Diceros bicornis minor: one gene and its partner. The protein of the gene in region 1 interacts with the protein of each later gene in a pairwise test. Links are inferred from orthologs where the notes say so. Each region holds a gene or a part of one and is shown in the gene's direction. Other genes may lie near its edges. The genes, in order: VAMP5 and ERGIC3.

Evidence for each region.
Region 2: the proteins of VAMP5 (region 1) and ERGIC3 interact in binary tests that used the Homo sapiens proteins (3 or more experiments, as listed by UniProt). The link is inferred for Diceros bicornis minor from reciprocal best matches to the Homo sapiens genes VAMP5 and ERGIC3.

The regions. Positions count from the first base shown.
Region 1 is NC_080751.1:4,407,385-4,411,294, reverse strand, and holds the start of VAMP5 (vesicle-associated membrane protein 5), read left to right. Parts: upstream 1-1,195; 5' UTR 1,196-3,910. UniProt on the Homo sapiens protein: May participate in trafficking events that are associated with myogenesis, such as myoblast fusion and/or GLUT4 trafficking.
Region 2 is NC_080758.1:24,185,293-24,189,202, reverse strand, and holds the start of ERGIC3 (endoplasmic reticulum-Golgi intermediate compartment protein 3), read left to right. Parts: upstream 1-1,362; 5' UTR 1,363-1,414; coding exon 1,415-1,502; intron 1,503-1,638; coding exon 1,639-1,709; intron 1,710-1,828; coding exon 1,829-1,916; intron 1,917-2,136; coding exon 2,137-2,256; intron 2,257-3,910. UniProt on the Homo sapiens protein: Possible role in transport between endoplasmic reticulum and Golgi. Positively regulates trafficking of the secretory proteins SERPINA1/alpha1-antitrypsin and HP/haptoglobin.

The DNA.
Region 1 (3,910 bases):
CTGTGCCCATCTTTCTCTATTTTATATGGGACGTTGCCCCAGCATGGTTTGACAAGTGGTGCATCTATGCATGCCCGGGATCCGAACCTGTGAACCCCAGGCTGCTGAAGCAGAGCGTGCGCACTTAACTGCTGTGCCACCAGGCCAGCCCCTCAGATCTACTCACTGGCTCTGTGACCTTGGACGGGTGGATTTAACCCCTCTGAGCCTCAATTTCTTATAAAACTGGGATAACAGTATTATCCTCAGTGGATTGTTGTGAGGATTAAAGAAAATGAAGCAAACAAACAGCTAGCAGCACAGTGCTTAGGTCAGAGTCTGTGCTGAATGGCGGCTGTTATTATTGTCAAGATAGAGAACCTTATCGACAGCCTGCAGTGCCTGATGAAAATAAACTAGATGCAGATTATCAAAGGCCCGTGTCAAGCTCTGTATTTAGGTTATAAACAATTAGGTGTACAAGTTTGCAATAAGGAAGAGCTTGCTTGGCTGTTATATCTAAGAGGTTTTATTGACCACAAGTATTGTGTAGTTCTTGGGATCTGACTGCTAAAAAAAAAAGCGAGGGAAACGAGCTACATCAATAATAATAGCTGTTATTTATTGAACATTTAGTATGTGTCAGGTATTGTGCTAAGCACTTTATTTATAATATGTCACATGCCTTAGCCAACACTGTGGTATCATTGTCACCACTTTACAGATGAGGAAGTGGAGGGTCAGAAAGGTCATGTCCTCAGTCTTCAGTCACTCAGCTGGTGAGTGGCAGAGGCAGGATTTGAAGGAACCCAAGGCTGCAATGCAGAGCCCTGCTCTTAGTCTCTGAGCTCACGTGAGTGCTGAGCCAGGAAGGAGTTGATACCCCCGTCGCTGCCCAGGGCCGTCTGACTACGATGGCCAGACAGCTGAAATAGAGTGTCTTAGGCACTAACCAAGAGAGAGGGGAGACAGCAGAGTTAGGACAGGGAGGGGTTTGAGAGCTTTGTTTTCAGCATCAAAGGAGGAATATTCTGTGCAGAGGGTAACGGTCTGTCAAGAACATTTCCTGTGTGACTACCACCCTCTGCCTGCCAATGACGCTGCTGCTTGCCCTACCCCCGGCTCAAAAACTCAGGCCCTGCAGGCTCCTGGCAGTGCTGGGAAGTGCCTGTCTTGCCCACCCTTCCTCTCTATGCTCCGTGCCCCCCCCCCCCCCCCCCCCCGCTCGCCTGGCGGACATCTCCTCACACTGTTGCTGACAGCACTTCTCCTCCCCTTCTGGCTGGCCTCTCTGCCCTGAGTTTTCTCACTTGCATCCATGCCAGTCTACCACCAATAGAGAAATTATCCTGAAGCACCTCTTCAGTGTTGCCCTTGGCTCAGAAACCTACACTAGCTCTCTATCCCTCCCTCCAAGTGAGCTTCCTCTCCTTGACTTTTACTGCTTCCTCTGGCCCCATCATGCTCCCACACCGTTATCTTCTGCCTGCTGCATCACTGTCCCGAGCGTGTCTCTGTCTCTCTATGCCGAGAATGCCCCAGTTCCACCTCATCCATCAAGGGCTCACACCCTGTCCATCACAGTTCTCAGGAATCCCCCTCTCTGTGGTAGCTCCAGCTCTCACTATGTGTATCTCACAGTTAACTCTTCACTTTCTCTGATTGTCCCATATATGTCTCTTTCCCCCAACCTATACTGACTTCTTAAGAACAGGCACAATTCACTCAGAAAATATTGTCCACACATCCACTGTGTGCCGGGCACTATGCTGAGTTCACTGTGGCAGGAGGCAGCATGGCCTTTCCCTCTGGTCGCTTACTTCCTTCCACACCCATAATTCTGTATTTCTCACTGTGCCAGCAGAGACCTGTGCGTATAGTGTCCGTTTTCCGCTGGTTGAGTGGGGCCGAGGAGGGCCAGGAACTTGAGCCTGAGGCCTCTGTGTTCCCTGGATCAAATGTGTTTTTAGGCCTGGGCCCATCTTGGCTCCAGACAGGCCTGGCTTTGCAGTGAGGGAAGAGGCTGCAGACTGCAGCAGGAGGCACAGCTAGCTCTCCTGGAGAATGTGACCCAATGTCACCCCATGTTGGAGAATAAGATAACAACAGCTGTAGCATTTAGAGTAGAAAACAATAACATCCAGTGCCCCATCAGTCTTTAGTGGTGATTCTCATTTTCGAATCTTTGTCCATTCTCGGTTTTTGCCTTGGAATATTTGAATGTGGGGGTGCCTTGGACTGTGTGAATGCGAGAAGCTCCAAATAATGGAGCCTTGTTGAATAATATAGTAGTAACAATAGCAGTGATGATGGTTGACTCAGAAAAGGTAGAGATGAGCGCAGCTTCCCTGCTCTCTTCATTAATCTTCCTTGTTCCCCAGTTACTGCTTCCCCTGGCCTGTGAGTTCACCCCTCTGTCATGGTTCGCCTGCCCCCTCTCAAAGCAGGTTGCTTTTCTAGCTCATGGGTAAATATTGACCTACTTGGGTTTCAGATGCCTGCCCCTCGAAACTCCTGCTAGGCTAGATAAACACAAGGGGATAACATCTCTTGAGAATCAGAGCTGCTTTTGGAAAGGCTATAATGCAGTTGAGCCACTCACTGAATCTGTGCAACGGTCACCACTGAGCTGGGCCCCCGGAATGGCGGCAGACAAAGGCAGGGCATTGGCCCCTGCCTTCCCTCTGGGAGCTTGTGGTCCAGTTGGGGAGGTAGGGCTTATATACTGGGAATACTTGGAGGTTGTGCACAAGGCAGCTGCAAGGATCCTGAATGAGGATTGTTGCCTGAGTAGGTGGCCCTCTGTGACCACAAGATCCCTTCCCTTTCTCTGGTTTTAACTGGAATTCAGTCAAGTGCCAAAATACCTGCTGATGACAATAGGCAGTATAGTCTGGCAGGAAAGGGAGGTTGGCCGATGCTCTGTGGGGAGGAGATGAGAACTGGGATGGGCTGTGGGGGACAAGGCTGGGAGGAGGCAGTTACTGTGGTTTGTTAATCCACTGGTATTCATCTCCCTGACATGTCCCTGGACCTGCTTCTGGACCTCCAGCTCTCACTAGGGCCTCCTGCCCTGGGTCTCTTTCAGTTGCATGCGTCTAAAGGCCAGTTCCTTTATTGCTTGTGACCCATGCTTTCTTCCTCTCTCCTGTCCTCTCAACCTCCCCCCGCTTGGACTCTGCACCTCCCTTCCCCGTCCTCTGAAATGAGCTGGGTTCTTTTGTTAGGTGAGGCTGCTGCCTAGGCTGGGAGATCCAGGAGTTGGTCTTGTTTCAGTGAGTTGGACCCCAGTGAAGATCCTGGCTAGCTGAAAGGCTGGAGGCCAGAGGCCAGGAAGGCTGAGGTTCCCAGGCAGATAGAGAATCAACTTCGAGCATTGATGTGGATGTAGAGTTAGGCCATGAGGCAGAACTGGCCTGACCAGTCAGAAGCCCAAAGAGGGAAATCTGCTCTCAGTTTGTGTTTTTGTGTGTCTGTGGGGTTAGGCAGAGGCTATGATGTATGGTGGTCCAAAATTACCTTTCTAGCTCTGTGGAGTGGAGCTCCTCCTTGTCTGGCTTCTAGCCAAGTAGCTTGGTTCCCTGTTCTTTGCTTTCCCTGTTTCTTAGGCCAGTGGGAAGCCATAGGGCAGGTGCACATTGGGTACAGGCCATCCTAGAGCAGGCGGGCAAAGTGTCTGCTTTGTGGGAGGGTGGGGTCCTGGGAATGTCCCATCCTGAGGCACCTTAGAGTAAGCTGAGATGCTTGAAGCCAAGGCTGACCTAGGACCTGCCTTGATGGGCAAGGAGAGGAAGCCTATGAGACCAAGGTGAGCCACACACAGCCAGGAGGCTGGCCTTTCACTCTGCACGTGTGAAAGATGTTGTTTCCCCAACTCATACACTGCACACACACACACACACACACACACACACACACAGTGGAGGCAAAG
Region 2 (3,910 bases), on another chromosome or scaffold:
GAGATTACCACTAAAGCACAGTAAACAAGAGTAAGGTTATTATGCAGATTTAAGACCTCACCTTCCACATTGATAAGTTTCTAGAAATGAGGTCATCCCCCCTCTTCCCAAGACAGAGAGGGAGATACCTTTACAAATGGAGATTTCCCTTATAAATGTAAATGTTTGTCTGGCAACTCCTCGCAGGGCCATCCAGAGAATGTGGCCAGAGAGACAGAATTTCTGATAAGATGGGCTTGTTGGTGCCTTTCCTATTGTAACATCTATTTTACATTATATTACAGCCATCAGATGGAAGATCTGTTCCAGGAAGGAGCCACCATGTCAAATTCTTTAGGCAGTTAGTGGGGGAGGTCAAATGTCCTTCAGAGAAAACAATCAAGGTAAAGAGATATATTTCAGGGTGGCCAAATTTTGATCTCCCACACAGTTAATGTGAGTTAGTCCTTTCCGTCTTCCTTTCCCTAGCAAACTGCAGCCTGCAGGCAGAAGGGGGACTCCGGCACTGCTCAGCTTCTCTTGAGTCAGACTGCTACAAGGCATCCAGCTCCAGTGTCCCTCCTCCTCTTCCTGGAAGCCTTCTCTAACCTAGCGTGTCAGTCATTTTCTCCTACAGACTCTCACAGTCTCCTGTGCCACCTCTTATCAAAGTTCTGGTCTTCCATCACTGAAATGATTTGAGCCCTGCACCTCCATGGGCCATGCTCACCAGAAGCAATGAGAGGCTGTTTGAGTAAAATCAACCCTAAGGGCGCTGGCTTCCAGAGTACTTTGAGGTCCAGAAGAAATAGGTTGGAATCAGGCCCTGACATTAATTGGCCGTGAAATAGGGCAAGTTACTTGGCTTCTCCAGGCCACAGTTTCTCCTTCAGAAAATGGAGATGAAAGTCACACCTACTTTCCACAGCGATGATTCTCAAACTAACTGCAGGGAATCACCTGGGAGCCACTCCTAAAGTCTCTGATTCAGCGGGTCTGTGGTGGGGCCCGATAACTTGCATTTCTAACCAGTTCCCTGGCGATAAGAAGGCTGCTGGTTGGCGACACTTTGAAAACCATTGTTCTAGGAGGTCCCAAGAGTCTGATGTGAAACTCTTGTCTCAGTTCCAAGCACAAGGCAAGCGAATGCCGCTATTACTGTTTCTACCCCGTCAAGACCTCCTCCGGGCGCCCTGTCGATCCACATAAGACCACCTCACCGCAGGGGTCCGCGGCCGCTGCCAGCGTCTAGACACGACCGCTAAGAGCACCGGTGGGCGGGGACCCCCGAGTGAAAACGCCGGCGGGGGTGGGGCCAAGCGCGCGCATTGATGCGCCTGCGTGCGGACAGAGAGGGGGCGTGGCCCAAGCTCCGGGCCGGAAGCGGGAGGCTGCAGGGGCCGGGCTACTGGCGTTCCTTTTCCGGCTGGTCCCCATGGAGGCTCTGGGGAAGCTGAAGCAGTTCGATGCCTACCCCAAGACTTTGGAGGACTTCCGGGTCAAGACCTGCGGGGGCGCCACCGGTAGGCCGCGGCGGGGTCGGGGTCGTGGGGAGAGGGGTGTCCTAGAACTTGGCCGAGGCGCCTGGACCCTGCCGGCGTGCTGGGGGCTGAGGGAGCTGAACAGAGGCCAGTCTGACCCTCGCTCCCTGCCCTGCAGTGACCATTGTCAGTGGCCTTCTTATGCTGCTACTGTTCCTGTCCGAGCTGCAGTATTATCTCACCACTGAGGTAAGGGGCGGGGGGTAGTACGTGGGCGGGGCTTGGCCTTCTAGGGATAAGAGCTTTAGGGATGGGAGTGGGGAAGGAGACCGTGGGGCCAAAACTTAACTGAGATCGTGCTGCCCCAGGTGCATCCTGAACTCTACGTGGACAAGTCACGGGGAGATAAACTGAAGATCAACATCGATGTATTTTTTCCGCACATGCCTTGTGCCTGTGAGTACCTCACCATGGGTGGGAGTTGCAAGTCTCAGGGTTCTCAGGTGGCCTTCCAGATTCACACCTCCAGCCTTAGGTTCTAGACTGAACGCCAGGACAACTTTCTTCCCCTAATCCACTGTTGCCCCAAGACAGGCCCAGCATCCCCTTACCCTCCGAAACCCAGGTTCCCTTGACCCTAGGATCCCAGTACCTTACCCTGACTTCTTGCTTCCAGATCTGAGCATCGATGCCATGGATGTGGCTGGGGAACAGCAGCTGGATGTGGAACACAACCTGTTCAAGCAACGGCTAGATAAGGATGGCGTCCCAGTGAGCTCAGAGGCTGAGCGTCATGGTAAGTGAAGGGAGGGGGCCAGATCTCAGATCCCAGAGCTGAACATGCCCAAGCCTTACCTTCTGGCAAGTGGGCTGTGGCCAGCCCAGTGACAGATGAAGCAATTAAGACCCAAAGAAGTCAAGTAGCTTGCCTAGGGTCCCCCAACTATTATGAATCAGAGTGGGCTGAAATCCAGTCTTCTAGCCTCTATACATTGAGTAGAGTACTCTACCTGTTCTCAGAGGTCCCCTATCCCTTCCTGTCATGGTTTGAGTAACAGAAGTTTGAGGATGTGTCCTATGTGCTGTTCCCTTGGCAGAACTCCTCTAGATGGACCCAAGCCTCTCTGGGTGTTTGTTTCCTCATCCCATTGGCTGAATTCAGCCCTTAATGCTCTTTCCCTTTGGAACGCAGAGTGGCTTAAGGTTAAGAGTTTACATTTTTGTGTTAGATTGCCTGAGTTCAGATGTAGCTTTGTCTCTTGCAGTCTGTGACCTCAGCTATAAAGTGATGATAAACAGTAGTACTCACCACATGGAATTGTAGGATCAAATGAAGTAATATGTGTACAATGCTTGGTGCAGAGTGGCTGTTCACTTTTAGCTTCCTTTCCTCTCTCTAGGTGGCCTCCCAAGGCCTCCATTAATTCAGTTTCCCACCATAACAAAACCCTTCTCAAAGTTGTGATTTTTCACACCTTAGGGATTGCTCTATTGCTGAGCTTTATCATTCATTCGTTCAACAGATATATGTTGACCCCCAGTAGAACCAATAGAATTTGCTGTAGAATTGGATGTAGGGTGTAAGAGAGCAGAGTCAAGGTTGATTCCAAGGCTTTAGACCTGAGCAAATGAATGAATTGAGATAGGGATGACCAGAGAAGAGGAAGAGGATTTTTGTGTGAGAGAGGTGGGGAGATATTATATATCCACTATCATTTAACAAATTACCCCCAAAAGTTAGTGGCTTAATACAACAAACATTTGTTTTTTCAGTTTCTGTGGGTCAGGAATTCAGGAGTGGGTTGGTTGGGTGGTTCTGGCCTAGTGTCTTTCATGAAATTGTAGTCAAGCTGTTGACTGGGGCTGCAGTGATATGAAGGCTGGACTGGGGCTGGAGGATCTGCTTCTAAGAGGGCTCACACATATGACTGTTGGCAAGATGCCTCAGTGCTGTCACCACACGGGCCTCTTAATAGGGCTGCTTGAGTGTCCTCACAGCATGGCAGCTGGCTTCCCCCTGTGCAAGTGATCCAGAAGAGAGTAAGGTGGAAACCACAACTTCTTTTATGACCTAGCCTCAGAAGTTGCACACTATCATTTCTACAATCTACCAGTGGTTATACAGATCAGCTCTATTCATTATGGAAGGGGGGCCTACATAAGGATGTGAATACCAGGAGGTGGGGATCATTGGGGACATCTTAGAGACTGGTCTCATAGGGGAGGACAGGATTTGGGGGCAGATTTCAGGTTTGAGACATATTAAATTTAGGATGCCCATTTGATATCCTAATAATGTTAAGGAGACAGATGTACCAGTCTCGACTTTAGAGAAGGGCTGAAGAAATAAATGTAGGAGTTATCAGCATGTGGATAGTATTCAAAGCTATTGGACTAAATGAGAAAACCTAGGGAGTGAATATAGATAGAGGAGAGGTCTAGGGACTATA